Linked DNA regions of Rattus norvegicus. The protein of the gene in region 2 binds, or shares a complex with, the protein of the main gene of each other region. Links are inferred from orthologs where the notes say so. Each region holds a gene or a part of one and is shown on either strand. Other genes may lie near its edges.

Region 1 (3,521 bases), on a different chromosome or scaffold from region 2:
CGGCTGTATACAATTTTGGGGTCTTCTCTGTTTTACAAGGTAAGTTGAAACCTAAAATATTTTCAATATCCAACTGCTATATACATAGACCTAAAGTAGATTCCAACTTTTACACGCATGGAAGACATGTTACCACCTTGCAGACAATACTGTGATCTGGAAATAAGACCTTAGAGATTTATAAATACAGTAAATATTCCTGTTTTACTGTGTGCTAAGGCATTTCCGAGTGTGCAAACATGAAAAGGTACTAAAAGAAGAAGATATATAAGACAGAACAACAGTATGTTCCTTTCTTCAGAATTTTAAAAATTACATTTATTTAGTGTGTGTTTACATGGGAGCCACAGAGCATACGTAAGGCCAACAACAACATGACAAGTTGTTCTCTCCTTCTACTGTGTGGGGCTCCTGGGATCAAACTCGTGTCATTGGGTTTGGTGGCGAGTGCTTACACTAAGCTGTCTCCAGCAATATCTTGTTAACTTCCTTTTGCAATAGTGTTCCTGCTCTTTTTATTGTCTTCTTCAGAAGTGAAATACATTGCATCTTGTGTATGTAGCATTGAGTTACTACTTCCATTAAAGGAATCAAGACAGTTAAGTATTTCACTTTAAAATATCTTTAAGAACAATATGTAACATGTTTAACAGAGTCAGATGATTCAGGAGGCACACAGAAAAGAATGTCTGTGCTGACCTTGACCCTGCTTCTCTTTCTAGCCCTAGTTTAACCAAACATTCAAGATAATCAGTGCTACTTGAGGTGATCTTGTTTTGGGCAGTAATGTGTCTTCTAAGTCCCTTCAGTTGTCAAGTTTGATCGGCAGCTTGGCTCAGATCAATAGCATGGACTTCTGACAAATCTTGCTTAGTTCCTTTAAAACTGCACTGGTTTAAGCATTAGTTTATGCATGTCTTCGAGATATGGGATCGTTGCTGCACGCTGCTAGCTGACTTTGGCTCTTCGTGACTGAATCCCAGGGTTATATGGTGTGCAGCCATCTGCCTAAGGACGATGTTGTTGAGATCGCTGCGTACTGTCGCCAGTACTGCCTGCTGCCTTTAGCAGCACAGCAAAGGATTGGCCAGCTGATAATATGGAGAGAAGTGTTCCCACAACACCACCTCCAGCCCGCTACAGACTCAGACCCTGAGGCCTTCCAGGAACCAGAAGGGAGATATTTCTTACTAATCGTCGGGTTGGTGAGTTACGTATTCTTTCTTGAATTCATTTTATGTTTTCTAAACCTACTTGCTTAAAGAGCACAAACAGGCTTGCTTACAGTATGAATATGTTACTTGCTTACATTCAAGACAATGTTAAATGCTTCTCTATTCTCTTCCTTCTGTATCTGTTTAATAGTCATGAAGAATTATTAGTGAACTCCAGTGTAGGATTTTAGCAGAGTTTGACGATGTTTCATTCCCTTCCTAAAACAGTGGTTTTATCCTTTCATAAAATGATACAGAGCCAAGTCTGGCATGTTAGTGATCCCTGTGATGCCAGCACTTGGAAGGCTGAGGCAAGAGGATTGTGAGTGTGAGTTTGAGGCAGCCTGGGCTGTACGTAAACCCTGTCTGAATGAGGGTGGTGAGAATGGAGGCTATTTGAAAGTAGTATTAGGGATGTCTCTGGACTAAGAGAAATGATTGATGGTGCACTGTTGCTTGACCAAAACAAGCTAAGCAGGATTGTTTCCATTGTGGCTCAGGGAGCTTTGAATGATGGTGAAAAGAGAAAGAAGAGATTTTTCAGAATTCACTGAGTACTTGCAAATGCCTATATATGTCTTTAGTATTTACAAGCATATACATACAGACTATATTAAATATCTCCAATTGAACATGTACCAATCTTCCTCTACAGCGACATTACATGTTGTGTGTGCTGTTAGAAGCTGGAGGCTGTGCATCTAAAGCTACTGGGAACCCTGGTCCAGATTGCATCTATGTCGATCAGGCCAGAGCAACCCTTCACCAGCTGGAAGGAGTGGAGTCCCGCATAGAGGAACAGCTAGCTGCAACCCCGGGGCCCTGCTTGTCCTGTGCTGACTGGTTCCTTGCTGCACCACGCGAAAAGGCAGATAGTTTGACCACTTCGCCTATCCTCGGTAGGCTGCAGGGGCCTTCCAAAACAGCAGCCTCTCCAACATGCAGAAGAACCTTTTTCAGTGACTATTCATTCAAGGCACGGAAGCCCAGCCCCTCACGGATTGGTGGAGGACGTGAACCTGGTGAAGGGGAAGAAAATGTTGGTCTGAGCCCACACACTACCCCAGACACTGTACGGAAGCAAAGAGAATCTGAAGGTTCAGACGACAATGTGGCCTTGCTTAAGGTGTGTGTCCATTCGAATGTTTGCATTGTGAGCAATAACTAATTGTTAGAGAATTGTTTTTAATTGGGAGAGTGTTCCTTATTTGAAGTGGTGTGTTTTAGTGATTAATGAAAAAATAAAAAAACAGAATTGAAAAGAGAAAGAAATATCCAGGGCCAAGACATAAGCCTGCGGCACTAGAACATTTTTTCCCCAGTGCTTCCCCACATACATTGACATACATTGACCTTTCTTCTGCGTTGATAAGGGTGACAGCGTCCTGGCTTGGGGCAGTCTCAGTGTCAGTCTTAATAGCCAGTAAAACATTTAACAGAAACAGATGATCAGAATGGGGAAGAGGAGGTGCCTATTTGTAATAAGCTAAGGTTCTTGATCTGCATTTATGAATGTCACAAACATTAAAGCAGAGAATGCTCATCCTTGAGGTTGACATCCCATGACTTTCCCTACACACACTAGAGATATGTCCACAGTTGACAAAGTCCACCCCACCCTTGGGAGCTTCGCACTTACTCTGGGAAATTGATGTCTCTCCACAGTTTTGAAACTTGCCATCAGGAGGAGGGAGGTGATGCCAGGCCGATTCTGACTGGGCTACAGTGCTTCTGAGTGCTGTGACATTTGCAAGCATAGTTTCCCCTGCTCCCATACAGTGATGCTGTTGAAGCCAGAACACAATATGTTTGTTCCATGCATGTTTTGCATCCTAGCTATAGACTGTTACCTCATTTGATAAACTTTGTAGGAAAGAGAGATCAAGACAATTTGGATAATTTATGTATAGCCAAGCTCTACTCAGCTGCCATGAATAAGACCTCAGACCTGTGTGACCTTGAGGAGTTCAGACAGCAGCGAGAGAGACAAGCACACATGTATACATTCAGTGATGGACCTGGTGGGGAGTTTTCTGTGACTTCACCTTGGAAACCTTCTTAACAAAGAGTAAGAGATGTAGATTAGTATGGAAAATATTTAAAGGGAGCGGCACAAAAATAGTGCTCTTAGGTTTTGAATCATTACTACTGTGTGATCCTGTTCTTAGATAAAAACTAACATACTTATCTTCCAGCTTGCTAGAAAGAAGTCAACACTTCCAAATCCGTTTCATTTGGGAACTTCGAAAAAAGAACTTTCAGAAAAAGAATTGGAAGTCTATAACATGATGAAGTAAGAAACTTCTA
Region 2 (3,521 bases):
AAAGAACTAAAATCAAAGTAATTACCAGTGTTGTTCTCTCATGGTAAACATTTAACTCCTTGTGCTGTCCCTCAACTGTTAAACTGAATTAGATTTTTTAAATGTGGGCAGAAAAGCTTGTTAAAGGTCAACACTTTCAGGATATTTACCCTGAAATTCTTCTTGTCAAAATTATTTCAATGTGAAATAATTAAATTATGGTATAGCTGGAAAGAAAAGTCAGAATTATTAATACTCAATACATGTCCTTGCTGTAAAGTCCAAATGGGCACTGATAAAACACCGATGCACTGTATGCTTTGAAGTTTAAATACTTATAGTCAGGTCTTCGATGTGATCATTGTAATTTCTTCGTTTTTGAGAGAAAAACCATAATTGTTAAATACATAAAGAGAAGTGCACATTACATTAGGTGGACTCGCCATGACGTTGCCATGACATTGCTATGAGGGAATGTTGCAAATTCCTAGATGAAAAAGTCAAATTAAAAATGAGAGATTGGCATATTTAGTTTTGTAGAATGCAGATCAGTTGTTATTTGGTGATCACTAGTTATCACATGATTCAAACACTGAAGCGAGACATGAAATTCATGTGTCTCTTCAAGGAAACACGGGCACAGTGTACTGTGCAGCAGTGACACGCAGTGCCAGTCATTTGCCAAGTCCAAAGGTAGAAATAACGTATTAATTCCCCATCTAAGCAGCATAGGCCAAAGACGAGGCCTGTGCTTTACACTCTTTAAGACAGGCTGACACCCTGTCGGTTCCTGGGCTCACATTACCACACTCTTCAATCAAGAAGACACTGCCCACTAGTCATCACACCTCTAACAAAGGAACTGTCCTATGAGATCTTAAATAAAAAGGTAAAGAACACTTTAAAGTGCTTCGGCTAATGAATACTGATACATTTTAAAGATCAACATTAGGGAAAAAACATCATTTAAAAATCAACCTAGGGGTTGGGGATTTGGCTCAGTGGTAGAGCGCTTGCCTAGCAAGCGCAAGGCACTGGGTTTGGTCCCCAGCTCCGAAAAAAAAAAAGAAAAGAAAAAAAAAATCAACCTAAGTTAACTATTTAAGAAAAAACAGTGCTATAAGAATGTTAAAGGGAATCTTTAATTTTTTACTAAATATGCAAATGAATATCATAATTTAGCAGGTAGAGAAAATTATCATCATGCAAATTTTATAGAAGCTCCACAAATTGGGCATATAAACCAGATTATATTTTATTAGCACAGTGAAAAACTTATTTCAGGTGACTTTCCATGTTAAAACTCTTTCTTATAAGAACAGATATTTCTATTAAGCAAATTAAATCTATCCTATGCCACCATCAGCCCAATCATAATAAATAGAAAATCTAAAATTTGGAAAGTCAGGTACAAAAGTCAGCATCCAAGCGCACACACCAATTACAAGGCACAGGGCTGGCTTTGCCTTTGCTGCTGACGCCCGCCTGAGGACAGCATCCACGTGCATGGCTCCTGTATATATCAGCTCTATTCCCACTGAACAGTGAACTGTCTCAAATCCACGTCACAGAGGCTGGATCAATCTTGCAAACACAGGTCAGGGCTGAAAAGACGCCTTGAACTGAAACAGCCTGGAAAATGCATTAGATGCTCACCCTTGCAGAGAGGGGGCCTTACAGTCAGAATGTTATATGAAAAATTTAAGCACATCATTTAAAATAAAAATCCTGTCTTAGCAGATGTAAAGTCCGTGATACAGAGAACAAATTACCTGGCGTTAGCAGAGGAGAAAGACTGACACACCTCACAGAGATGTGTCCTCCAGTCACAGTTGGGGTGGGATGCAAGGCTCTTACCAGTACTTAACATATCTTCTATTAGTCTTTGAAAGACCTTCCTTCATTTCTCACTGTGGAATCCACAGCAGCTACATGGATATTCAGGGACTGAGAAGTGCAGTCTATAGGAGCATTAGGAAACAAGCCGACTTGACTCCATGAGCTTAAATATTAAATAGGCCATCGTTAGGCCTTCACCACAGGTGAGGTACAAAGGCACACTCAGGCTTCCTCAAACCCACAAATGCTCAAGAATAAAAACAGTGCCACGACCTGTGCCGTCCTCTGGAGTCGCTATCTATAATAGGTAGTAATATGGCTATAGACATTGAAAATCTACCTTATAATCCAAGGCTGAGAGCTTTTCCAACCTCTTGTTTACATCAAGAGAATCCATCTTCTTTGCAAATTGAATAAAACATAATTTGTTTTGTGCCAGAAATGATAAGATGATGAAACTGTCTGTAAGGAGAGCTAAAACAATGATTTAATGATTCCAAGTTAGAACAAAGTTATAACAAGTTAACACACTTATGTTAAATTATTATTAAAAGATGCTGTCAGAAAATAAATATTAATTAAAGTTACTAACATCTCCCAAGTATATTTGAATGATATTAAAAATATCAGAAATAACATAACCATCAACACGACCATGTACATTTGGTATCCCCCCCTTTTTTCAGTGACTATTTCCACATAAACTAACACTGGAGGATATCACCAAAGGAAACATTTGGGAACCAGAGCCAACACACATAAGAGAGGCTGGTGCTGTGGCTGATATTTAGTCCCACCAAGTGGAAGGCAAAGGCAGGCAAAGTCTGAGACTAGCTAGGGATATATAATATGAGCCTGTCTCAATAAAAAAGAGCATAAAAAGATACTTTTCTTTTTGTTTATGTACTGCTTCAACATTTAAAAAGCCATCTGAGAATAAACTGGATTGATACTAATCAGTGTTCTCTACCAAATTAAATTTTTTATTTAAAATTTTTCATCTGTAATCCCTCTTTTGAAGACTTACAAACTAAATGAAACAAAATATACTATACCTAAATGTGTATATTATATAAATTACTATCTAATAATGAATATCAACAAAATATTTCTGCAGTTTTATTACTAAAGAATTTAAGTGGGTAGATAATATCACGGGTCATATAAGAGCCACTGTTATGTGAATTGTTCCTAGGGAAAAAAGGAAAAAGAAAAAGAAACTACTTAACATCTTGTACACTTTTTCCACTCCACCTCTGGATGCACACGCAGTGCCCCACAGTGGAGGAGCTGGCGAGCTGCCAAGAACTGCATCGTTCGGTCCCCAGCTCCGAAAAAAAAGAACCAAAAAAAAAAAAAAAAAAAGAACTGCATCACTACCGTGTCTCATGAGAGTGCATTGTTTGGGCACATGTGAAAGAAACACATGAAGAGAGACAACTCAGACAGAAGGCTGTTGATGCTCCCTGTTCAGTCTACAGAACAACGTAAACATGAGACCTCATAGACACTGCTATGTGCAAAGCCAACGAAGGGCTCGTGATGAGCTGAGACCAGAACTCTCACGGCCTTCCCTTGGCACCACACTACACGCTGGAGGAAATACCGCGCCCACAGCCATCCCCCGCCTGTTCCTCTTAGTGCTGTTGCTAGTGATGACTGTCCTGTGACTTCTTTCTTAGAGCTCCGTGATTATGTCTGAC

What was found. Proteins that work in one complex are often made in the same cells at the same time.
Region 1: the proteins of Wdpcp (region 2) and Intu are in contact, whole or in part, in a cryo-EM structure (PDB 7Q3E), measured with the Mus musculus proteins. The link is inferred for Rattus norvegicus from reciprocal best matches to the Homo sapiens genes WDPCP and INTU. Residues at the interface, in NP_663400.2 of Mus musculus: Phe3, Cys4, Leu5, Ile24, Leu51, Ser54, Arg55, Asp56, Lys93, Leu385, Ala386, Glu387, Asp388, Tyr389, Ile427, Lys446, Leu447, Gly448, Ile449, Leu450, Thr451, Arg452, Gly453, Leu455, Leu462, Gln463, Ile465, His466, Tyr467, Gln487; in NP_780724.3 of Mus musculus: Val481, Gln484, Val488, Asp491, Ser495, Asp496, Glu498, Ala499, Ala500, Asp501, Ser506, Glu507, Asp508, Arg513, Arg514, Thr517, Ser532, His533, Leu534, Pro535, His574, Tyr593, Glu610, Gly613, Cys614, Ala615, Ser616, Lys617, Ser653, Pro654.

Annotation. Positions count from the first base shown.
Region 1 is NC_086020.1:125,596,752-125,600,272, forward strand, and holds part of Intu (protein inturned), read left to right. Parts: coding exon 1-39; intron 40-983; coding exon 984-1,205; intron 1,206-1,869; coding exon 1,870-2,340; intron 2,341-3,409; coding exon 3,410-3,507; intron 3,508-3,521. UniProt on the Homo sapiens protein: Plays a key role in ciliogenesis and embryonic development.
Region 2 is NC_086032.1:100,001,026-100,004,546, reverse strand, and holds part of Wdpcp (WD repeat-containing and planar cell polarity effector protein fritz homolog), read right to left. Parts: intron 2,293-3,521; coding exon 2,159-2,292; intron 1-2,158. UniProt on the Homo sapiens protein: Probable effector of the planar cell polarity signaling pathway which regulates the septin cytoskeleton in both ciliogenesis and collective cell movements.